4 linked regions of the Arabidopsis thaliana genome follow. The protein of the gene in region 1 interacts with the protein of each later gene in a biochemical or structural test. Each region holds a gene or a part of one and is shown in the gene's direction. Other genes may lie near its edges.

What was found.
Region 2: the proteins of ROPGEF1 (region 1) and ROP1 form a complex in vitro, tested with the Arabidopsis thaliana proteins (one study listed by BioGRID).
Region 3: of the proteins of ROPGEF1 (region 1) and ARAC1, one has a biochemical effect on the other in vitro, tested with the Arabidopsis thaliana proteins (one study listed by BioGRID).
Region 4: of the proteins of ROPGEF1 (region 1) and ROP10, one has a biochemical effect on the other in vitro, tested with the Arabidopsis thaliana proteins (one study listed by BioGRID).

Annotation. Positions count from the first base shown.
Region 1 is NC_003075.7:17,982,879-17,991,169, forward strand, and holds ROPGEF1 (rho guanyl-nucleotide exchange factor 1), read left to right. Parts: upstream 1-3,505; 5' UTR 3,506-3,764; coding exon 3,765-4,032; intron 4,033-4,119; coding exon 4,120-4,236; intron 4,237-4,322; coding exon 4,323-4,843; intron 4,844-4,955; coding exon 4,956-5,309; intron 5,310-5,394; coding exon 5,395-5,781; 3' UTR 5,782-5,991; downstream 5,992-8,291. Other genes in the region: sks9 (SKU5 similar 9), read left to right, coding at 1-108, 207-316, 546-816, 905-1,010, 1,101-1,827, 1,928-2,006, 2,086-2,295; IYO (RPAP1-like, carboxy-terminal protein), read left to right, coding at 6,237-6,410, 6,599-7,439, 7,504-7,619, 7,782-7,960, 8,064-8,169, 8,263-8,291. UniProt on the Arabidopsis thaliana protein: Guanine-nucleotide exchange factor (GEF) that acts as an activator of Rop (Rho of plants) GTPases by promoting the exchange of GDP for GTP. Acts downstream of PRK2 in the control of polarized pollen tube growth by activating ARAC11/ROP1.
Region 2 is NC_003074.8:19,041,232-19,044,893, forward strand, and holds ROP1 (RHO-related protein from plants 1), read left to right. Parts: upstream 1-1,626; 5' UTR 1,627-1,965; coding exon 1,966-2,064; intron 2,065-2,154; coding exon 2,155-2,242; intron 2,243-2,333; coding exon 2,334-2,443; intron 2,444-2,526; coding exon 2,527-2,590; intron 2,591-2,670; coding exon 2,671-2,801; intron 2,802-2,882; coding exon 2,883-2,984; 3' UTR 2,985-3,162; downstream 3,163-3,662. Other genes in the region: AT3G51290 (pyridoxal-phosphate-dependent serine hydroxymethyltransferase, putative (DUF632)), read left to right, coding at 119-342, 432-1,185, 2,155-2,242, 2,334-2,443, 2,527-2,590, 2,671-2,801, 2,883-2,984; VPS35C (VPS35 homolog C), read right to left, coding at 3,403-3,616. UniProt on the Arabidopsis thaliana protein: May be involved in cell polarity control during the actin-dependent tip growth of pollen tubes. May regulate callose synthase 1 (CALS1) activity through the interaction with UGT1.
Region 3 is NC_003071.7:7,738,034-7,742,780, forward strand, and holds ARAC1 (RAC-like 1), read left to right. Parts: upstream 1-1,753; 5' UTR 1,754-2,279; coding exon 2,280-2,378; intron 2,379-2,571; coding exon 2,572-2,659; intron 2,660-2,748; coding exon 2,749-2,858; intron 2,859-2,957; coding exon 2,958-3,021; intron 3,022-3,495; coding exon 3,496-3,560; intron 3,561-3,651; coding exon 3,652-3,717; intron 3,718-3,807; coding exon 3,808-3,909; 3' UTR 3,910-4,247; downstream 4,248-4,747. Other genes in the region: VPS35A (vacuolar protein sorting-associated 35A-like protein), read left to right, coding at 217-285, 360-440, 544-651, 741-844, 917-1,030, 1,110-1,311. UniProt on the Arabidopsis thaliana protein: Inactive GDP-bound Rho GTPases reside in the cytosol, are found in a complex with Rho GDP-dissociation inhibitors (Rho GDIs), and are released from the GDI protein in order to translocate to membranes upon activation.
Region 4 is NC_003074.8:17,727,833-17,735,734, forward strand, and holds ROP10 (RHO-related protein from plants 10), read left to right. Parts: upstream 1-3,504; 5' UTR 3,505-3,728; coding exon 3,729-3,833; intron 3,834-4,158; coding exon 4,159-4,246; intron 4,247-4,444; coding exon 4,445-4,554; intron 4,555-4,647; coding exon 4,648-4,711; intron 4,712-4,806; coding exon 4,807-4,871; intron 4,872-4,972; coding exon 4,973-5,038; coding exon of another isoform or gene 5,039-5,080; exon of another isoform or gene 5,081-5,139; coding exon 5,140-5,243; intron 5,244-5,384; coding exon 5,385-5,409; 3' UTR 5,410-5,681; downstream 5,682-7,902. Other genes in the region: AT3G48030 (hypoxia-responsive family protein / zinc finger (C3HC4-type RING finger) family protein), read right to left, coding at 47-122; protein SUO, read right to left, coding at 6,438-7,902. UniProt on the Arabidopsis thaliana protein: Acts as a negative regulator of abscisic acid (ABA) responses.

The DNA of each region.
Region 1 (8,291 bases):
ATGATGACGATATCCATCATTTCTTTTGTTCAAGCTGATGATCCCTACCGTTTTTTCGACTGGAGAGTCACTTACGGCAACATTTCTCCACTTGGCATTCCTCAAAGGGTATTTTTTTTTTTTTCCAACATCCACAAAAATGGCGGGATGCTTTCTGTTTTTGTTTGCTCGATCATGCATGCTTTATATTCTATTCATACACGCAGGGAATCCTGATAAACGGACAATATCCAGGACCCGATATTTACTCAGTCACCAATGACAATTTGATCATCAATGTTCACAACGATCTCGACGAGCCCTTTCTCTTATCTTGGTACCATTTATCTAGCTCCCCTTCTCTACCATTTTCTTTCATTCATTAGTTATATTAGAGGAAATAGATATTGGAGTTTGGTAAATGGCATGATGGAGCCAATTTGCATGCACTAGTGTTGTTTCTTCACATTCTTGTTAGAGATTATATTGGTGGCGAGACGTCAAGTTTTCATGTTAATATAATATCAATGAATTAATATAATACAAAATGGTAAATACTAATGAAGGAACGGAGTGCAACTGAGGAAGAATTCTTACCAAGATGGAGTGTATGGGACGACTTGTCCAATCCCACCGGGTAAAAACTACACTTATGCCATCCAAGTCAAAGACCAGATCGGTAGTTTCTTCTATTTCCCTTCCCTCGCCGTTCACAAAGCTGCCGGTGGTTTTGGCGGTTTCCGTATCCTCAGCCGCCCTCGCATCCCCGTCCCTTTCCCTGAACCCGCTGGAGATTTCACCTTCCTCATTGGTGATTGGTTTAAGCATGACCACAAGGTATTTCTTTCTTGAATTAACAAATTATGTTCGTTTTAGTATTTGTCATTGTTATACAAGGACCATAATTAAATGTAACATTATTCAGGTTTTGAAGGCAATTTTGGATAGAGGACACAAGCTACCTTTGCCTCAAGGGGTTTTGATCAATGGCCAAGGAGTCAGTTACATGTCTTCCATCACCGTCCACAAAGGTTCATCCTAAAAACACTCAAATACTTTGATTACGAAGAAAAGCATTATATTATCTCATCATTTATTTTTTGTTGTGGAACAATTATCAGGTAAAACATACAGATTTAGGATATCGAATGTAGGGCTTCAACACACTCTGAATTTCAGAATCCAAGGTCATCAGATGAAGCTCGTTGAGGTAGAGGGAACACACACAGTCCAGTCCATGTATACCTCTCTCGACATTCACGTTGGACAGTCTTACTCGGTCTTGGTCACCATGGACCAGCCTGACCAAGACTATGACATTGTCGTCTCCACAAAATTTGTCGCCAAAAAACTCTTGGTCTCATCTACTATCCACTACTCCAACTCAAGACATAGCCACTCATCTTCTGCTAATTCAGTCCATGTTCAACAACCTGCCGATGAACTAGATTGGTCTATCAAACAAGCCCGGTCCATTAGGACCAATCTAACCGCGTCTGGGCCAAGGCCTAACCCTCAGGGTTCGTACCACTATGGTCGAATCAAGATTTCTAGGACTTTGATATTGGAAAGCTCAGCGGCACTAGTGAAGAGGAAGCAACGCTACGCCATAAACGGAGTGTCGTTTGTACCTGGAGATACTCCGCTAAAGCTTGCGGATTACTTCAAGATCAAAGGCGTTTTCAAAATGGGAAGCATACCTGACAAGCCGAGAAGAGGAAGAGGGATGAGAATGGAGACGTCAGTGATGGGAGCACACCATAGAGACTTCCTTGAAATCATATTTCAAAACCGCGAGAAGATCGTCCAAAGCTACCACCTCGATGGATATAGTTTTTGGGTTGTTGGGTGAGAATAATTAAAGATTAGCTATATCTATCGTCCTCTATATATAGTAGCTAGTAATAATGCATTGCATGCATCTGATGTTTGTGAGTACTGTCCACAGGACGGATAGAGGAACATGGTCAAAAGCAAGCAGACGAGAGTATAATCTTAGGGATGCTATTTCTCGCTCCACCACTCAGGTACAAATAGTTTCTAACTCCATATATCTTACCAAAAATTTTAAAAAATCATCTCAAAACTAGTATTTGGTTGTTGTAGGTATATCCAGAATCTTGGACAGCCGTATATGTGGCACTGGACAATGTGGGGATGTGGAATCTAAGGAGTGAATATTGGGCGAGGCAATACTTGGGTCAACAATTCTACCTTCGAGTTTATTCTCCAACACACTCTCTTAGAGATGAATATCTTTTGCCTAAGAATGCTTTGTTGTGTGGCCGAGCCTCCAATAAACACACCACTCCTTAATGACTCTACTCAGACCAATCGTCAATGGCTGATTTAGGGATATGTATTTTATTATATTGAGTTCTTTATTCTTTATAATTTCAATAGCTAGATATATGTTGCACAATTATTATATATACTTCAAAAATTGTAATGTATACCCAAATTTGATGAAAATTTTACTGTTTTGTAACGGTTATTGCTAAGTTTGAAGTTAATTTTTGTAGGCAAATGCAATGTTTTCATATGAATCAACCAAGTAACTCTACCATATCACCAAGCAAAATAGTATAGTTTGAAGAGAGAGAGTAAATTAAAAAAAAAAAAAAACCATACATAACATATTAGAAACATTAATTTCGAATAAACAGACTTTAACGATGAAATAAAAATTTAAATTATTATCCACCGGTAGATGTAGAATGTTTATTGGTATAGAAAGTTGTTCTATTTGGTCAAAGTTTTTGTTGACCTTGCAATTACAAATTACAAGGCTGTCAATCGAATGAAAAACATGGCAATGGAAAAGATTTGCTAATAATGCCAAGACAAACAAACGTTTATTTGGAAGGTTAAAAGCCTTTTAGAGAAGAAAAAAAAAGAGCAGAGAGTCAACTAATTAAGCCATGCATGTGAATCAACACCAATCCATAGCATATTCTAGTGATCAGTGACATTAATATTGTAGATTACTATATTAACCCGAATTCAAAGGGCATTAAATAGGTACTTTAATGAATTGAATTAAGAAGAGTAATATAATCAACGGCTTAGATTCGTTGCGTGAAAAAACCATAACCGAAAACAGCGGAATCCACGAAATAAGTAAGCCAAACGCAATCTAGACCGTACGATGTGAATACTTTAATGACGCCAGAATACTATGGACAGTGTAGATCAGGCGAATGGGCGTAATACACGTGGCGTAAAATCACGAGGATAGATATGGTGCAACGTAGTTCAGGCCGGTGTGGTACGAGAGAGTCTGATGATCCGACAAGGAATACTTCTAGTCCACACAATGTCAGCCTTTCTTTATTTTCTCGGTCGCTTCGAGATTCTCAATTCTGCTCTGTAGAAAAGATCCTGATGGTTCACTTTTAATATCCAACGGTTGATATAACACAAGCGCATGCTCCTCTTATGAGAACGGCCGTGGGATATAATTTAATCTCGCCGTTAAAAAATGTGACGACCGTGAGTTAACGGTTTATCTGTTACCAACCTCATACCTGTCCCTAACGGCAGAGGATAACGCCGTGAGTATGGATGGATGGGAGAGAAAAGAAGAGAGAGAGTGTGAGTGAGGAAATGAAAGGAGTCTTTTTTATTTGTTATCTCTCATCTCTCTCTCTCTTTCTCTCTGAGCTTTGCTTTTTATCAAACAAGCATCATCATCACATCCACTTCCTTCTTCTTCCTTTCTCTGTCTGTCTCTTAACCCAAATGTGGACTCTTTGAGCCGTTATTAGATCTCTGCCGCTTCAATAATGGGGAGCTTATCTTCTGAGGAAGACGACGAAGTCTCTTCCGAGAGATGCGGAAGTTACAGTCCCAGCGCCGACATTAGCGAGTCCGAGAGTTCCAGCAGCTTCTCCTGCCACCGCTTCGACGGCGAGGGTGCCTCTAGCTCCATCCCTTCTTCCCCTCGAGTTGTCGCTGGTAGAGGATTTTACTTCCCGGCCCCAGTCATGCTTCCGGTGATCGGCGGCAAAGATGTGGTCTGGGATGACAAACAACCAGACAACGATTTATCCGGTATAAAAGTTTCCAAATTTGACCTCTTTTGTAAACATTGATGAACACTAGGATTCAATTTCCCTTTTGTTTCCTATTGGGTTTCAGAAATTGAGATGATGAAGGAGAGATTTGCTAAGCTACTTCTCGGGGAAGACATGTCTGGTGGAGGTAAAGGGGTTTGTACGGCGCTTGCTATCTCCAACGCCATCACCAATCTCTCTGGTACCATCTCAATCTTCTTCCCTTTTTGTTAGTTGGTATATATAGTAGGGGTTTCTAGTTTTTTAATAAGGCTAGTGTCCACACAGCGACTGTGTTTGGCGAACTATGGAGGCTTGAGCCTCTTGCTCCTCAGAAGAAGGCCATGTGGCGCAGAGAACTTGAGTGGCTGCTCTGTGTTAGCGATTCTATCGTTGAGCTCATTCCTTCCATTCAGCAGTTCCCTGGAGGCGGAACTTATGAGATCATGGAGACCCGTCCACGTTCTGATCTCTATGCCAATCTCCCTGCTCTCAAGAAGCTCGATGCTATGTTGATCGATATGCTTGACGCTTTCTCCGATACTGAGTTCTGGTACACTGATCGCGGCATAGTTCTTGGTGATTGTGACAAGGATTCTTACAATTCTCCAGCTTCCGTTAGGCAGGAGGACAAGTGGTGGCTGCCTTGCCCTAAGGTTCCGCCTAACGGTTTGTCAGAAGAGGCCAGGAAGAAACTGCAGCAGTGTCGGGACTTTGCTAACCAGATTCTCAAGGCTGCATTGGCAATTAACAGTGGCGTGCTTGCCGAAATGGAGATTCCCGACCCTTACTTGGAGACTTTGCCCAAGGTATGCGCCTTCTCGAGCTCAAGGATTAGCTTTTTCATTGCTGCTGGAGCATAAATTCTTTTACCGTTATATGTGATTAGCTCATTGAGTTATGATTTTAAACTTAATGCAGAGCGGGAAGGAATGTCTTGGAGAGATCATCTACCAGTACTTAACTGCAAACAAGTTCTCTCCCGAATGCCTCCTGGACTGTCTTGATCTCTCATCGGAACATCAGACTCTTGAAATCGCCAACCGGATTGAGGCGGCTGTGCATGTTTGGAGACAAAAGAATGGGAGGAGGCACAAGAAGCAGGCGAAACTAAAGCTGTCTTCTTGGGGTGGCAAGGTTAAAGGCCTTGTTAATGACAACGAAAGAAATGATTTCCTTGTGCAGAGAGCCGAGACCCTCTTGCAGAGTCTCAGGATCCGTTTCCCGGGACTTCCCCAGACAACGCTGGACATGAACAAGATTCAGTACAACAAGGTACATTATAGTTTGGAGTGTGCTTTGCTGGTTGCATCATGAAACGATGCTTAGATAATTTAAGAGTTTGTGTGTGTTCTTGCAGGATGTAGGGCAATCAATTCTGGAGAGTTACTCTAGGGTGATGGAGAGCATGGCCTTCAACATCACGGCCAGAATAGATGATGTGCTTTATGTTGATGATGCCATGAGAAGATCCATCTCTGTCACAGAATCGCTATCCCTATTCAGCATCAATGGACTCAACCCTCAAAAAGCGTTCTCTGTGCAGAGCTCTCCGCACGGTTCACCATTTGCAACGCCTGCCCTAAGTGTAGCATCAAGAAGCCCGAGGAGAGCACCGCCGCTGTATTCAGTGAAGAGGAATGGGACGAGAGAGAAGGGAATAGTGGGAGAAACAGAGAAAGCATGGTCGTATGCAGGGAATCTGAGTTCAAGAAGAGTAACGGGAGTGACGCCGGAAAGAGATTAAGATTGAAAATAGAAGAATGTAAATCAATGGTTGTAGAGACTGTAGTTGTTTCTTGTTTGTCTGACTACGAAGACGAATGTGGTAATAGCAACAAGAATGTTATCTTATGTGGAGTTTTGAAATGTTGTTAACAAATCAATTCCTTAGCTCATTTACCAAGTTTACAAAGATTATGGTCCAAGTCCTAAAACTGAATGAACATCACATACCCGTCTCTTGAGTGATTTAATCATGTTCTTCATTGCACTAAAGCGACAACTTTTGGTTCAAATATAGACTATGACTATATGGTTTGTTTTGCACAGGATTAAAGTTGATGTTCCAATTTTATAATTAAAAAGTCAGAAAGGGGTTTTCTTGTTATTTTTTACTTGTTCTTATAAGCTATCGGGACGACACGGAGTTTTAAAGAGTTTTCCGTTTTGCTGAGCGGAGGCGAGAGAGGGTTTAGAGTGATGGAGCAAAGTAGCGGGAGAGTCAATCCGGAACAGCCGAACAACGTCTTGGCGAGCCTTGTCGGGAGCATCGTGGAGAAAGGAATATCGGAGAATAAGCCTCCAAGCAAGCCGCTTCCCCCAAGGCCCTCCCTTCTTTCCTTCCCCGTCGCTCGTCATCGTTCTCACGGACCCGTAAGCCAATCCAATCCTCTAGTGCGTGCTTTTTAGGTTTCCATCTTCCTTTTGTTGCCTTCTTCTAGATTTTAAGCACCTTCTACTGTTGTTTAGTACTTGGGACTCCACAATTTTTCACCGTGCCTGACCTTGTAATTCAGCTTTCTGAGACATCTAATTTTTGTTTCTCATGTTTGATTTTGTAGCATTTGGCTCCTGTGGGAAGCAGCATAGCACAACCTAAGGATTACAATGACGATCAGGAAGAAGAAGAAGCAGAAGAACGTTTCATGAATGCAGACTCCATTGCTGCTTTTGCTAAACCGCTTCAAAGAAAAGAGAAGAAAGACATGGACCTCGGGAGGTGGAAAGATATGGTCTCTGGGGATGATCCTGCATCCACACATGTCCCTCAGCAATCAAGGAAACTTAAGATCATTGAAACGAGACCGCCCTATGTTGCTTCAGCCGATGCGGCCACTACATCCAGCAACACTTTACTGGCTGCCAGGGCATCAGACCAGAGAGAGTTTGTTTCTGATAAAGCACCGTTTATTAAAAATTTGGGAACCAAGGAAAGGGTTCCTTTAAACGCTTCTCCTCCCCTAGCTGTTTCGAATGGACTTGGGACTCGACACGCGTCTTCGTCTCTTGAAAGTGATATTGATGTTGAGAACCATGCAAAGTTGCAGACAATGTCACCCGACGAGATTGCTGAGGCTCAGGCTGAGTTATTGGACAAGATGGATCCTGCACTACTCTCCATTTTGAAGAAACGAGGTGAGGCAAAATTGAAGAAGCGAAAGCATTCTGTGCAGGGGGTTTCCATCACCGATGAAACAGCAAAGAATTCAAGAACTGAGGGTCATTTTGTCACTCCTAAAGTGATGGCAATACCGAAAGAAAAAAGTGTGGTGCAAAAGCCAGGGATAGCCCAAGGATTCGTGTGGGATGCATGGACTGAGAGGGTTGAGGCAGCCAGAGACTTGAGATTTTCTTTTGACGGGAATGTTGTTGAGGAAGATGTTGTCTCGCCAGCTGAAACTGGTGAGTAGAACAATACAACTGAAACACATGACAATCTTAGGTTGCTTACACTTTGACTGTACAGGTGGAAAGTGGTCTGGTGTTGAATCTGCTGCCGAACGTGATTTCTTGAGAACCGAGGGGGATCCTGGGGCCGCAGGTTACACTATCAAAGAAGCTATTGCTCTTGCACGAAGTGTGGTATGTATGATTGCCACATATTTTAATTTTGATGCTAATTAATGGTTAAATTCTTTTTTCCCTCCATTTTGGCTTTAGCTGAACAAAACCTGTAGGCTGAGACTGCGTTTTTTTCGTTATCACTGCTCATTGATTTGTATGTATTATTGATATATATATCAGATTCCCGGGCAGAGATGTCTTGCTTTGCATCTGCTTGCATCTGTACTCGACAAAGCTTTGAACAAACTTTGTCAAAGCAGAATAGGCTACGCAAGGGAAGAAAAAGATAAATCCACTGACTGGGAAGCCATCTGGGCTTATGCCCTTGGACCGGAACCTGAGCTTGTCTTAGCATTGAGGTAATTTCCTGATGGGTGTAATTTTGAGACTTATTTGTGAAGTTGTCACTCATAAATCATAAATTGTTTGTTCTTATCAATATAAGTTTCTTTTCTTCTTTAGGATGGCTCTTGATGACAACCATGCCTCTGTTGTTATAGCATGTGTAAAAGTGATTCAGTGTCTACTGAGCTGTTCTCTTAACGAGAATTTCTTTAATATTCTGGAGGTATAGTTGATTTTTCTCACTCCTAAGAAGTTATAGTCCTCATAGAACGTGATTATACATGTTCAAACTGATAAAACCCATTTCTATTTCCAGAACATGGGACCACACGGGAAAGATATCTT
Region 2 (3,662 bases), on another chromosome or scaffold:
TAAGAGACCCACGTGTGTACTTAATTCTGATGAATAATGTGTTATGTACACTGGCACAAATATCTTGCCAAGTAGTGAGTGAGTGTTTGTTGTTTTTTGAATGTGGGTTTTGTTGCAGTATGCAGAGAGCATAAAGATGGATCATGAGAAGAAAGTGGAGCAAGTGAGGAGGCTTGAGATGAAGAGAGCTGAGTATGTCAAGACTGAGAAGGCTAAGAAAGACGTCGAGAAGTTAGAATCTCAGCTCTCAGTATCTTCACAAGCCATCCAAAGCGCCTCTAACGAGATCATCAAGCTCAGAGAGACCGAGCTTTACCCTCAGCTTGTCGAGCTTGTTAAAGGGTTTGTTTTGTGCATTCCCATTGCTTCATTAACCTAAAGTATCTTATGTTGGTCAATGTGAACAAGGTTCTTGTATGAATGTAATGTAGGCTAATGTGTATGTGGAGGAGTATGTACGAGAGCCACCAGGTTCAAACCCATATTGTGCAGCAGCTTAAGTACCTTAACACCATCCCCTCCACTGAACCAACATCTGAGCTTCACCGACAATCAACTCTTCAGCTTGAGCTCGAGGTCCAACAATGGCATCACTCTTTCTGCAACTTGGTCAAGGCCCAACGTGACTACATACAATCTCTCACGGGCTGGCTCAGGTTAAGTCTGTTCCAGTTCAGCAAGAATCCACTTGTTAGGAGTAGCTACGAGTCAAAGATCTACAGCTTCTGCGAGGAATGGCATTTAGCTATTGACAGGATCCCTGATAAAGTAGCATCTGAAGGGATCAAAAGCTTTCTGACAGCAGTCCATGGAATTGTGGCTCAACAAGCCGACGAGCATAAGCAAAAGAAGAGAACAGAATCCATGTTAAAAGATTTCGAGAAGAAATCGGCTTCGCTGAGAGCGCTTGAGAGCAAGTATAGTCCATACTCGGTACCTGAGAGTAGGAAAAAGAACCCGGTGATAGAGAAGAGAGTAAAGGTTGAGATGCTAAAAGGAAAAGCAGAAGAAGAGAAAAGTAAGCATGAGAAGTCAGTGAGTGTGACTAGAGCCATGACTCTAAATAACTTGCAGATGGGTTTCCCTCATGTCTTTCAGGCAATGGTTGGGTTTTCAAGTGTGTGTATGCAAGCCTTTGAGTCTGTGTACAACCAAGCTAAGAGCATCGGTGAGGATCAAGAGGAGGTTAAGAGGTTGCTTCCTTAAAGAGAGAAAGACAAATTGTTTTACCATTTGCTCTCTGTTTTTGCTTGATCCAAGCTAATCTTTTGGTTGAATGTTAGGTTGAGTTTATGCTGTTTTCGAAATGAAATTGGTTAAATGACTTTTCATTGAATCACTGCTTGAAACTTCATCAATTCAACTACTTCTTAGCCAAGTCAAATCATTGGAAGGTGACCTACCAAGGTATTATTAACATTGGAGAAGTGTTAGTTAGTTAGTTAGTGAGGTAGTTAAGGGGATTGCTTAAAGAAGTAAGCAAGTTTAATGATAATCAAACACTCGTGATGTGTACGTAACAGAAGAAAAGAGAGATGATTCGTTTGAGCGGCAGAAAAAGACAAGTGCCTAATTTGATTTCCCATAAATAAACACACAATCGATTGGTAATTTTGATTAGTTGGGAGCTATTAAAAGAGGAAATCCACAATAATCGGAAATAGAAAGACAAGTTTGGTTAGCGGAACGTTTCAACGCCATTTTTCCCGGCCAAAGCTAACTCTAACTAACTCTTTGTTTTTTTTCGGTTTTTGTGCCATCTTCCAGTTTTCATTTTTTTTGTTTCCCCTCTATCTTTTTGGGTAATAGGGTTTCTAATCTCTGGGACAAACTCCAATCGTTTCGAATCCGCAATGCCCAGATGGTCGATCAATAGAAATATCAAGAGTCTCCAATTCCAAAGGCTAAATCTTTGAGATCTTTTTTTTTATAAATTTCCCTGAAATTAATAAACTTTGAGGGGAAATGAGCGCTTCGAGGTTCGTAAAGTGCGTGACGGTTGGTGATGGAGCTGTCGGAAAAACTTGTTTGTTGATTTCTTACACAAGCAACACTTTCCCTACGGTTATGTCCCAATTATTCTTTCATGTTTCTTGTTTCATTACCACAACAACAACATATCTCATGTTTCTTGTTTCTTTTGTGGATATACAGGATTATGTGCCTACCGTTTTCGATAATTTCAGTGCCAATGTTGTGGTTAATGGAAGCACTGTGAATCTTGGATTGTGGGACACTGCAGGTTTTTCATTTTCCTATATATCTTGGTGTTTGAAATTTGGAATATGGTTTTTGGATCTGAAGATTTTGAAAATTTGGGTATGAATAAACAGGGCAAGAGGATTACAATAGATTAAGACCACTGAGTTACCGTGGAGCAGATGTTTTCATTTTGGCCTTCTCTCTTATCAGTAAAGCCAGTTATGAAAACGTCTCCAAAAAGGTTTTAAAAATCCATCAATCTTGTTTCATATTATTGAGTTTTCGTCACATTTTTTGAACTCTTGTCACAAATTGTGTTTGCAGTGGATCCCGGAGTTGAAACATTACGCGCCTGGTGTCCCCATCGTCCTTGTTGGAACAAAGCTTGGTGAGTTTTCCATTGTTTTTTCCTGATCTCGCTCCTTTTACTTTATTAGTTGTGACTGAGTTTGTGTTTTTGCTCTCCAGATCTTCGAGATGATAAACAGTTCTTTATCGACCATCCTGGTGCTGTTCCGATTACTACTGCTCAGGGAGAGGAGCTGAGGAAGCAAATAGGAGCACCTACTTACATCGAATGCAGTTCCAAAACTCAAGAGGTACGTAGATTAGTATATATACCCTTGTTGCAGATTTCTAATGTTAATGTTAATGCTAATGTTGATGATGTGAGAGTGCAGAATGTGAAGGCGGTGTTTGACGCAGCCATCCGAGTGGTGTTGCAACCGCCAAAGCAGAAGAAGAAGAAGAGCAAAGCGCAGAAGGCATGCTCCATTCTATGATGATTGGAAATCTCTGTTTTTATGTATTTGGTTTTGGTATATTAATCTTCTAACAATGAATGAATCAATGTGTTAATGGACAGACACCCAAGTTTGACTGGTCCTTTTTGTTCTTAATATTAATGGAGTTTGTCGGAATCAACGTTTCTTTTGCTTCTACGATTCAGTCCTATGCATAATTCCACACAAACACCACATGTTTTGAATCAGTTTTCATTCCCACCATTTCTTCAGCTGACCATATTTTGTATGTTACTGTTTTAAACTTTGCAAACATGTTTATTGGTAGAGAGTGTAACTAGGAAATGAAAAGTAATGATACAAGTTTTATTTCTCAAGATTACTCTTCATGCTTCTGCAACAAGACGAGAAGCCATTGATTATTGATGATTTGCCTAACAGAATGCAAGAAATAAATTCATTCAAACCATTCCATTTTGATTTTCTCGTATTTCTCATTCATGCCACCATCTTCTTGCTGTCTCTGAAACTCGATGTAACGTAGAGTACTATTTATGAATGGCTCTGCGCCTGACTCAACCTTCTTTGTCTCGCTTTTGATTAATTCAGCTAAGCTCTTGATTGTATCGCCTGTTACTTGTTGGTTTCCTTTCTCCAGGAAGTAGAGATACCTGCATTTGACTCGTAAAACCATTAAGAGAAAGCAGTGACAACTGG
Region 3 (4,747 bases), on another chromosome or scaffold:
GTGTTCAGATCTGTTTTTAGGTAGAACAATGTGTCTCAGAGCTACATTACTTTTTTAAAACTTAGCCAAAGTTAGTTCATACAAGCTGATTGACAACGTTGAAAATTCTCAATCAACAGTTTGTAGATATTAGCTAAAGAGACTGCTGTTATTGCTCTGTCTCCACTACAGTCATCAGTTCTTGTATTTATTGTTGGATTTTTTTGCTTGTTGCAGATTATCGAAGCGCTACCTAATGTTCCATCACCTGACCTGGCATTCCGGTTGTACTTGCAATGTGCTGAGGTAAAACTACGTACCTGTTTATTTAGTATGCACTTGCTCGGTAAAATGCTCACAGATCTTTCCTATTTCATCAGGCTGCGGATAAGTGTGATGAAGAACCAATTGCATACGAATTTTTCACCCAGGCATACATCTTATACGAAGAAGAAATTTCGGTTAGTTATGTTTTCGCGGACGTTCATATGTCTCGTGTCTAAACCAAAGCAAGTAGGTGAGTTTAACTCTCTCTCGTGCGTCAAAAACTTGCCTTTTGAACAGGACTCAAAGGCCCAGGTGACTGCGTTACAACTTATAATTGGAACTCTGCAGAGGATGCAAGTATTTGGTGTTGAGAATAGAGATACATTAACGCACAAGGCTACGGGGGTATTTCATCATGATATGATAATTAGTCTCTTACCATATTCAATTGTCTCTGCTTAAAGGCTGACAAGGGAAAACTTATACTCTTGCAGTATGCAGCGAAACTTCTAAAGAAACCTGATCAATGTCGAGCTGTTTATGCCTGTTCTCATTTGTTCTGGCTGGAAGATCGTGAGACCATACAAGATGGAGAAAGGTAATACTTTCTTCTGTGCGATAGAACACAGTGTGTTTAAAATAGCTCATTAGGTTTCTTACTTGAAATCAGGGTTCTACTTTGTCTGAAACGAGCGCTTAAAATTGCAAATTCGGCTCAACAAGTGGCCAACACAGCTCGGGGTAGTACAGGGTCTGTTACCCTCTTCATCGAGATACTAAACAAGTAAGCGCTTTTTATTGTTTGTTTTACTTCTCATTTTCCCAGATCAGCAAGCAGCATTATGTAATGTGAATTATGGCAGGTACCTCTATTTCTATGAGAAAGGGGTTCCACAGATAACAGTTGAATCAGTAGAAAGCCTGATAAAACTGATCAAGAACGAAGAATCGATGCCCTCTGATCCATCTGCTGAATCATTCTTTGCAACTACGCTTGAGTTCATGGAGTTCCAAAAGCAGAAAGAGGGTGCCATTGGTGAGAGATACCAGGCGATCAAAGTATAGAATCTCATGTTGGTCAAAAGAAGTCGGTTTGTTTTTATTAAAAAAAAAAAAAGCTTTGCTTTGAGTCGTTTGAGAATCGGAAAGGGACTGATATTGTGTTGCTTGCTGCTCGAAATGTAAACCCGGGTTTAGGTCTAGTTTTATTCCTCGGATTTTCAAGGCGGTTCATGGTCTGTAACTTGTGGAGTTTGATGTGTGTTTATACGAATCTTTAGTATTCTGAGTTTAACATTGGATATTACATATTAGATAATGTCCTTCATGAAAAAAGTATTCATTTTATGTATTCTGTTGAATGATTATTGACGCATAAAAACATTTTCAATACCATTGTATAACGCATAATTAACAACCTTTGTGAGGCTTCAGCCTTCAAATATATCAATAGAAATTCAGTTTACGAAATCAACTTAAAAAATTTTGAAAAAATAATAAAATTTAAAAAAAAAACAAATTGTAGGTTAAATTTTTTTAAAAACAAAATAAAACAGAAAAGAAACGAGAAAAAAAAAAAGCAAAACAATCGGAGAAAGTTGATGGAGGAGATTGTTCGTTTTGTGAACGCTTCAATGGCATAAATTTCCGGCCATCACATTTCTTCTACTTTCTCTTTCTCTCTCCCTTGTTGTTGTTCTCTAGAATTCGATTCATCGTTGTTAACGTCGTCCATTCTTCTTCTTTGATCCCTTCTTTGATCTCTCACATTTCCGATTCCAATTTAGGGTTTCCTCTCTTTTCACATTTCTAGGGTTTTTCTTGTTCCCTTTGTACCGGAGATGGTGAATTGAAAGGAAAAATAAAACGCTTTTGAGAGCTTATATTTGAGGTTGTTTCCTCAGGTTTTGTAGATCTGAGGTTGCTATTTTTGAATTAGAGATTCTTTTTTTTTTTTTTCAAAATTTTGTTTGTTGTGATCATACATAGACGTACGTAGCTCCATTTCTGGTGGAGAAGGAAGAAGAAGAGAAATGAGCGCTTCGAGGTTCATAAAGTGTGTCACCGTTGGCGACGGAGCTGTTGGTAAAACCTGTTTGCTGATTTCTTACACCAGCAACACTTTTCCTACGGTATAATGTTCCTTCCTTAGATTGAATCATATTCTGTGTTCTGTGAATTACAAGCTTCAAAATTGTCTTCTCTATTGATTGATGAGACCAAAGCTTGTGGCAATACATGAATCGATCCATAATTTTTTTTTGGTGTTATGAGGATTTGTGGAGCTTTGTATCTCATTGAATCTTGTAAATTCATGTGGAACAGGATTATGTACCGACTGTTTTCGATAACTTTAGCGCAAATGTGGTTGTTAATGGAGCCACTGTGAATCTTGGGCTATGGGATACCGCAGGTACTGACTAAATAATAGGGATCTTACTTAGTAGTAGCGGCAGCTATGGGATTTGGGGTCTGAAACTTTTGTTTTGTTGTTGTAAACAGGGCAGGAGGATTATAACAGATTAAGACCTTTGAGTTACCGCGGTGCTGATGTTTTCATCTTAGCATTCTCTCTTATCAGTAAGGCTAGTTATGAGAATGTCTCCAAGAAGGTACGTTTTTGAAATGAATGTTTGCTACAAGTTTTGATATGAATACTCTGAAGAAAGTCTTTTGGTTGTGATTTTTGCTGCTTTATCTTCGTTTTGCAGTGGATCCCAGAGCTGAAGCATTATGCCCCTGGTGTCCCTATAGTTCTTGTTGGAACCAAACTAGGTAAGCTCGTTTTTTGACATATATGTCTGCTAATTTGATTTGTTCACGTCCAAGATATATCCATGTAGTACCTTTTAGCTCTTTTGTGTCTAGCGGAAACTAGGCCTGGATTTTGGAGTATCACAAATCCTGAAATAATCTAGGTTTACAAGCTTGTCTGTGATGTTTCGTCATCATTTTTAATGAATTCCGCGATACGTTATGGATCATATCTCACATTTTCTCTTGATAGTTAACCTCCATTGTAAGAGACAACTACATGCATGTAAGCAGCTGTTGGATGTCTAGCAATTATAAACCTAATAGAAAAGGCTTATACAAGATGTTGTGCCAAAATTGGTGTAACGGATTCTGTTTCTTACTTTTAATACCAATGCTTAACTTTCGGCCTGCTGTCTGATCCGTCTAGACCTACTTTTAATAGTTATGAGTTTCGTCTGGTGCTTATGTTTTGTGTTTCATCATATATGCCAGATCTTCGGGATGACAAACAGTTCTTCATTGACCACCCTGGCGCTGTACCAATTACTACTGCTCAGGTAAACAGAATTTTTCTTTGAAATGTGTCAATTTACTTAGCCTGTTACTTAAACGAACCCTTTTAACCGTTCACCACTTTGGGCATCAAAGGGAGAGGAACTGAAGAAACTAATTGGAGCTCCCGCATACATCGAGTGCAGTTCAAAAACACAAGAGGCAAGACACAAAAACTTTCCCTTTTGTTTTGAGTACTACTCTGCTTCTTTACTTAGCTTTTCTCAAAGCTTTTTTTTAATGAAATTGCAGAACGTGAAAGGAGTATTTGATGCAGCGATCCGAGTGGTTCTTCAACCTCCAAAGCAGAAGAAAAAGAAAAGCAAAGCACAAAAAGCCTGCTCCATTTTGTAATTTCTCTACGCTTCTCTTACGTATCTCTCTCTGTCTCTCTGTCTCTTCCACTCTTCTAGTGAAGGCTTAAGAAGAAAACACATTGGGCTTAAAAATTGTTCCAGAGTTCGTTGTGATAAGCTCTCTTAATCCTTAAAAAAACGATTATTTCTGTTTATTGATGAATAGTTTCCAGCTTTAGCTGAGACCTAATATTGCACTTACCACTTCTCTATTCTTCCTTCGATTTCAATGACTAGTTGAAGAAAACAGAGATGATGGATTTTCCACTTCAACTTTACTTAAGTCTACTAATTTGAACATATTACTTGTTCTCATTCTTCCAATTCTAATTTAACAAATGGTGCAATTTGGTATATTTTATTGTCTTGAATACTTCATCCAAAAAATTGTGATGCATATAAGTCTTTAAAAGTTCTGAATGTTTCAGTATTGTGATACAAAAATCAGAATTTTGCATTCAACTATGCCAGTCATTACCTTCTTTAATATATTTTCTTATAAATAAACCTCTCAAACTCCACTTCTCATCCATCACACAATCCTCAAAACAAGAGAAACAAACCCAAAAACAGAGCAATCTCAAAAAGATGAAGCTGCTCTCTTCAGTCTTCACCATGCAACTAGCCAGCGCCTCCGTTCTTACCTCGTGTAGAACAACATATAAGTTCCAAAAAAAAATAGTCATGTTGCTAAACGATGCCATTTCACAACATGCACTTCATTTCGCTTTTGAAGTTTAACTGACTTGTGAAGAATTTGAACAAATGGCCCATTAGCTCAGTTGGTTAGAGCGTCGTGCTAATAACGCGAAGGTCGCAGGTTCGAAACCTGCATG
Region 4 (7,902 bases), on another chromosome or scaffold:
TCGTGAAATGAGATCAGAAGAAAGAGGAAATGAAGAAGACACAAACCGAGAGGAACGAGAGGATTCCTGACACGCTTCTTCTCCTGGAACAGATCTTCCATGTCTGGTTCTACCGAACTCATCTTCTCCAGAACCAATGTCAAAAACCAAAGAGGAACAAGAAGAACAAAAAAAAAAGAGAAACCAAATTATGTATGTAGTCACGCGTGGCCTGTTCGTCACCAGAGACCGTGTGACGACGAGCCGGTTCTGTAAAACGAGTCGGGTCGATGGTTCTGTGAATCGGGTCAGATTCCAGTGTTGGAATTGGAAAAAATAACATTTGGATACAGTCCACTGGGTTCACTTCTAACGTTCACGTCAGAAACAGCATCAAATCCGTTTTGGGCCTTTTTGGTTAACGTATTTCTCGTTTAATTTTTGCTTTGTCTTACTGAAACTTTTTTTTGTTTTATACTGAAAATTTTCATTTATAGCTTTATGCTTTTTGCCAACCATTCTCTGGGGGTTTGTCTCTGCGAATTTATTAATGCATACATTTTTCGATTACCCCTGAATAAAATTTAAAATCTGGATGATGAGCATCAATTCTAACTGTTACAGGTTGGCTTGCAACAGCCTTGAGAAGGGCTGCCTCGTTGAATGGATCTACAAATGCGAATTGATCGATGGTTACCCTCACGCCTTGTGCCTTTGAAGGGTCGCATTCTCATTTGATAGCTGTGTAAGGATAAAAAAAATGAAGATTCTTGCCTTGATTCTGTTTTCACTTAGCAGCATCCTCCAAAATATATGTGGATTCGATTATAACGAAACAGAACTAGAGAGTGAGGAGAGTTTATTAAAGTTATATAACAGGTGGGCGAGCCACCATCACGTTTCTATGAAACTCAAGCCAAAAGAAAATAGATTCTAAGTCTTCCGAAATAACATGAAAAATGACCTAATAAAACTTAGAATCTATTTTCTTTTGTTTCGAACTTCATAGGAACGTGATGGTGGCTCGTCCACCTGTTGTATAGCTTTAATAAACTCTCCTCACTCTCTAGTTCTGTTTCGTTATAATCGAATCCACAAACATTTTGAAGGGTGCTAAGTGAAAACAAAATCAAGACAAGAATCTTCATTTTTTTTTGCTTTGATTGCTTTTAATGGAAGTTGAAAGTGTAAGAAAGTGGAGGCTTGGAGATCTAAATAGGCAAGAGAAGCGATATATATATAGCTTCTTGCTTTCGGTTGGTTAATTATTAAGTTCATCACAAATGCATTGAAATGTGTGTGATCAACTTACCATAAATTAAAGTAACATCATGCAAATAAGATGATTAGGAATGATCGCACATTCGCACCTGTTTTTTCATTGAAAGATATTACAATTTCGGTTATTAGCTTATTTTCATGTGATCTTCATAAAGAGTATTCCATTAAAATCTGCTATCTATCATTAATTAACAAATAACAAACTCGTCTTGTCTATTAACAAATCATCACGTAGATTACTATATATGCACTAGTTTATTATCTCAATTTGATGGATCATTTGCCTTGTCTCTGATGATACAGCCATACAAGGCCAAAGACATGGGCCTTTTGGGTCTATTGTTTTTTTTGGCAGCACGATAGTGTGTAACCAATTTTATCAAACCCACAAATCAGATATGAAAACCCAATTTAGCTTGGATACTTTTGTTTTGAAATAACAAAATTATACTTTACTAAGATTGATGAATAAGTTTGATAGCAGATGTTACAGAAAAAAAGAAGGAAAAGTTTGGTTGCTATTTTCCAAAACTTAAAAGTCCCCAATTCAGAGTTAATCCTAATTCCTATATATATATATATCTTTCTCTCTTCTATAACTACATATGTGTTTAACCAAGTTATGTTCATTTCTCCTAGCTAGAACCAGGTAAAATTTGTTTTATTGAAATAATCTATACAATTAATTGGTAATGAGTAATGCCAGAATCTTACAAAAAAAATGATGGCAAAATATAACAGTTTTTAATGCTAAACAAAATAAGAAGGATCAACCGATAAAGAAAAAGAAATAACGTACTATAATCAATGCTTCTTAAGCATGTGATTAGCTTTTAGTATCCTTTTAATCCTACTATATTATTTGGGAAATACATTTTAAATGTAACCTTAATTTTTGTAATTAATTACATGACAATACCATTAGAAAAATTTAATCAAAAACAAAATCTTTTAATGACATCATTAAGGTTACCAAAATCATTTAACGACAATATTCATTTCTTAATTATAGGGCTTGTTGAATCTAAAGACGGGTCATCAAAGATTTTCTAAACTAAAGCAAAATATACCGAATATTCAAATATCTTTCTGTTACCAAATTATAAACAAATAAGTTCGTAAAACAATTTAATATTTTATATACGAAATCAATAAATCTTAATCACATAAAAATTTGTACAAAAAAAAAGTATTCAACAATTAAAAATTTATCAAATCTCTGTGTTATATAAGTTTTGATATTATATTCGAATAAAGTGTAATATACCTTTTTAATTTGTATTCTTTAACTAATTTAAGCTAACTAATATATTTGCTAATCTTATACCTATTAAAACCGACTATCGTTTCTTATCTCTATAGTATTTTTGCAAGATTTTTTTGGTGGATTTGGATAAAAGTGCATTCGGGTCATATGGTACATTCCCCTATTAAATAAATATGGTGCACTCCTATGTTATTAGCTAAAATGTTTAGAATTCAGAGTCATATCATAAATAAAATTAATATGAATAAAATAAATGGCTTTTTGGCAAGACGGATTTAGAAGGACGGGTTTTTGAATCAACATTAATAAAAAAGTAAAATATAATTAATCCACCGTTTCAATACGGGTAAAATCTTTAATTTATTATTTTTTAAGACCACTAATATTAAACATATCAAATTATCCTAATTTAGAAAATATTATATAAAACCAAAAATGTTATGTGATATGTATAATGTTACTATATATAAAATTAAACTATAAAATATAAATGTATTAGAGAATGATACAATTTGCAAAACTTTTATATATAATAAATAATTCTTAAATTTTAAAAATTACGACTTAAAAAAAAACTCACGGGACGGGTAAAGAAATTACAGAACGAGTTTTATTTTGGAATTCGGTTATATGGTGGATGTATTTGAATCAATATTTATAAAATTATAAAATATTATTAATATGCTGTTTTAATAAGGGTTAAAACTTCAGTTTTTTAACAATTGTCTTATAGATTCGTGGCATAGCGTTACTTAATAACAATTATAAACCGTAAAATATAAATATTTTATAAAAATAAAATTTGCAAGTTTTAATATATATTACCTTTAAAAAATTAATCGTCTCGCGGTATACCACGGGTTAAAATCTAATACATTTGTAAAAGCGATAAATATGAAACGATTTAGAAAAGTCATGTGGATTAGATGGATATATCATGTGAGCCCCTCTTCTTTCCCTCTCTTCAGTCTTCAAACCAAAAAACGAAAGAGACAAAAATACAAAATTGAAACTTTGAAAATATTGAAAGAAAAGTGAAAAAAAAGAGAGTTTAGTTTTTTTAATCATATGGGGTTTATATAGTTTATTACCACACTTCCTCATGTTAATCACTTCATTTATCTCTCTATTATCTCTCTCACAATCTCTCTGGTTTTTGGGCGTTTCTTCGTTGAAAGTTGTTTGCTTTTGGTGAGTTAGAATGGCTTCGAGTGCTTCAAAATTCATCAAATGTGTGACTGTTGGAGATGGTGCCGTTGGAAAAACTTGTATGCTCATCTGCTACACTAGCAACAAATTCCCTACTGTAAGTTTAAAATTTGATCAAGTAAATCACAGTTTCGCTGATTTTTCATCAAATTGTTCTTTCGGGCATCTCCAATTTCGTCACTTTTAGTTGAATATACTTCTGGGTCTGTCAAATTTCAACTCTTTCACCGAGAATTTTAGCATGGTATTTCAAAGTTAGCTCCTTTTTTAGGGATTGTGCAAAAATAATCCTTTTTTGGAGATTCTGAAAAATCTTACATTGTAAAGTTAGTGGCTTTCTTGATTCACCAGTGTTTCCTCTTACTCTATTGCGCATTTGTTGTTCTCGTGAAGTTAAAGATTTGCTTGATGGATTGTATCAGGACTACATACCAACAGTTTTTGACAACTTTAGTGTTAATGTTGTGGTTGAAGGCATCACTGTGAACTTAGGCCTTTGGGACACTGCCGGTAAGTAACATTTCTGTATCCCTCTCTTGAATATCTCAGAATAACCAAGTTCACTAATGTTATGTGGTTCTAATCTTTCTAACATCTAGCAAGTTTGCTTTTGATTTGGGATTCTTAGATAGAGAACTTTATAGGGAGTGTTGAAGATTAGTGACTGTTAAGAGTTTTATGATTATGAGTACCCTTTCATGTTTGCAGGGCAAGAAGACTATAACAGACTAAGGCCTTTAAGTTACAGAGGAGCAGATGTTTTTGTGTTGGCTTTCTCATTGATCAGCCGAGCTAGCTATGAGAATGTGTTTAAAAAGGTTTGTGGAAATTGGATTCATTGTATTTCTTACTGGGAAAACAAAGAATGAAATGTGAATTTCTGATGTTTTTGAAGCGTTTATTTTGTTCAGTGGATCCCTGAACTCCAACACTTTGCACCAGGAGTCCCCATTGTGCTTGTTGGTACCAAAATGGGTAAGATAGCTATAAGAGTGGAGCCAACATATTTCCTTGTGTAATGCTTGAGAATCACATATATGTAATGTTTCTTACAATGTTCCGTTATCTAGATCTTCGTGAAGATAGACATTACTTGTCTGATCATCCTGGACTGTCCCCGGTAACTACATCACAGGTGTGCTTTTTCAACCTGTAGAAACCGAAAAGATTGTTGTGACATTCTCTAGACTCTCTCTTCTCTAGGTTTTATATGATTTAATCATTCATGTGTTACAGGGAGAGGAACTCCGCAAGCATATCGGAGCGACTTATTACATTGAATGTAGCTCAAAAACTCAACAGGTACACTTGTTCATGTGTGTTTGGAAACTTAGGAGTCATTAGTGTTAGGTGACTCTTTACTTGCAAACTATATGCTTTTCTTTGGTTCATGGCTTTTGCAGAATGTGAAAGCCGTATTTGATGCTGCTATTAAAGTAGTAATTAAACCAGCAGTGAAACAAAAGGAGAAGAAGAAGAAGCAGAAGCCTCGCAGCGGATGTCTCTCGTAAGTTCAATAATCTTCACTCTTTTTAATATATAACTAAGAAATTATGTAATACTAGAATTTGGTTATGCAACCTTTAGCTTCTTCATACAGTTTTGTTTGTTTGTGTAATGATTATAGATTGGCTTCTCTATTGTGCAGAAACATTCTGTGTGGGAAGAATTGATGAGTCAATTCCATCTGATGATTGTTCACTTCTTTTTTTTTCTTTTCTTTTCTAATTGGCCAGTTTGTGATTCTGATAAGTCGGAATTACATAGACTCTGGCAGAGATGAGCCTCAATTAGTAGCTTCTTCGATTCTGTTTGTATATGTGACCCTGATGTTTGTTTGTTTCGATTTGGTTTGACCCTTATAGAATTGTTATAGCCATTTTGTAGCCAAAACTTGGAGTAGTTCACGACTTAACGTGGTTAACACTTGCTTCTTTCGAAAAAAGGTGAATCCTTAATCACATATTCGAATTTATTTGGTCCTATTATGAGATCCAAGACCAAACGACAAAAGCGTGACAAGTAAGAAGAAGCCTGTAAATTTCAAACAGAACCAGCACAAGAAGTAATAAATCTACAAACTGGAAAAAGAAAGATAAAAAGAAGTAACTAATCTTGTGTCTATAATACAACCCCCATCACCTAACGCACACATGTAAAGCCACAATGCGAAAGACTTTTTTTTTTATCATTTTGAACACACTCAAAAGCCACCAACATTTGTTTTATCGCTAGTTTTTTGAGCCGGTGTATAGAGATACACACATGCATGAAAAATGACCTAAAAGTGTGTTTTCACCTTTTAAAACTCTTTGTGGGGAGGTGGTGATGCGGGTCTCTCGCTGAGAACCTTGTTGATGACTCTTCTGAAAGAGAATGGCCACTCCGGTGAATTTAGGACTGTTTTTGGAAGATCTACATGATGGTGAAACCAAGAGGTCAGGTTTGTGTTCTTAAAAAGGTTGAGACCACTGTGAAGTCGCAAATTGACTCACCCATGCCTCATTTGTACAGAGCAGGCCAGCCAATGAAGCCTTGTGGCATCACATTCACTCTCATCTCTTAGTAACTAGCAGAGTAAAAATGTAACTGAAACATTAGTAAGAGAGAGAAAAACAAAAAGAGAGGTCATAAAACACTAAGGTTTGTGGATTTCGAGGGCTTACAAGCTCATGTGGCCTACTGAGATTCTGAGCTACTGTTATTGCCATGAGGACTGCCTATATCCATCCCATCCTCCTTCCGGTTCTTTCCTCTTCAGAACACCACCTGACATTTGATACATTCTTGCTTGATCCTCCTTCAAAGGTAAGGAAGCAGATGAGGATAATTGCCTTGCCACAAGTGTTGATTCGTCTCTTCCCTCTGTTTCATGACCTCCAGGACCAGAATTTAAGTCAAGTCCTGACCTAAACCATTTCGCGCCATTGTCCAAAACACCGCCATTGCTACCACCGTTTGGGAGGCCAACTATATAAGGTCTTGGGTAATTAGACGGAACTGGAACTCCAGGACCCAATATTTGAGAGTTGACACCGGGGAAGCAAGCTCTCCCGCTTGAAGAAGAATCCATGTGTGCTGTAGAAGCACCAGGGAAATTCGCTGAGGTAACGGGGAAGCTGTTTCCAAAAGGAAAGACAGGATACTGGAACGTTGTGGACTGAAATGGCATGGCTGGAGACGACGACAAAACAGGACCCCTGTACCCTTCAGGGGTAAATGAGGAAACACCAGTTGTTGGACCCAACATTCTCTGTGGGCCACGAGTGGCAATCATTGGAAAAGGCTGATCACCTCTCTCAGGCATAATTGGAGGCATGCTCACAGCTGAATAAGCGTTAGCAGCAGGAAACCAAGTTGAGAAACTAGCCATGTTTTCGCCATTCACTCGAATTCCAGAGAGAGATGGTTGTGATGGCAAGCCACTTCGTGAATGTTGATTTAGAACCATAGATGGCTCAACAGCTGCATCATCACCCACAGGTCCATCATTTAAATCAAAATCTCTACGACCACCAGTCGATGGTAATTTAACCTGCTGAAAAGATGAATCTAGCCGATGACTACTGTTCATTGTGTAGCTGATCATATCAGTTGAATCATCAACTTTGTTTAGATCAAGATCAAGGCCTCCAGAAGAATGATCAAGGGCGGAACCCATGACCCCAGAACGTACTTGGTCAAAACTATTGGTGATATCAGATGTACAATTTGTGGGATTTCCAGATCTTTGGGAAGCCAAATCTTCAAGGACTCTCTCGTCAGGTACATTCAAGTCAAAATCCAGAAACGTCCTTGTCTGTTTGCCAGCAGAAGTAGATGCATCAGATGTAGAGGTGTTGTTAATGCTCAGTAACACATCCTGAGGTTTTCTTGGCTCAGCTGGGCGGAAGGCACTAGTGGCAGCAGATCCTCTCCAACCAACAGCCCCTTTATTTCTCAACAGATCTTCAGGTGGAACAAACGGACCTTTGGCAGCAGCAGCAACAGTAATAGATGCACGAGTTCCACTAGATACAGGAGCCACCGGAAAAGGTAAGGTCTTAACTGGTTGTAGAGGAGTAGGCGTCAAAAATACAGATCCAGAGAAGTTATTTGAGTCCCCATGTTTTGCATCGTCTCCATCAAAACCTTCATTTAGATCAAATTCAACTCTGGCATCCATC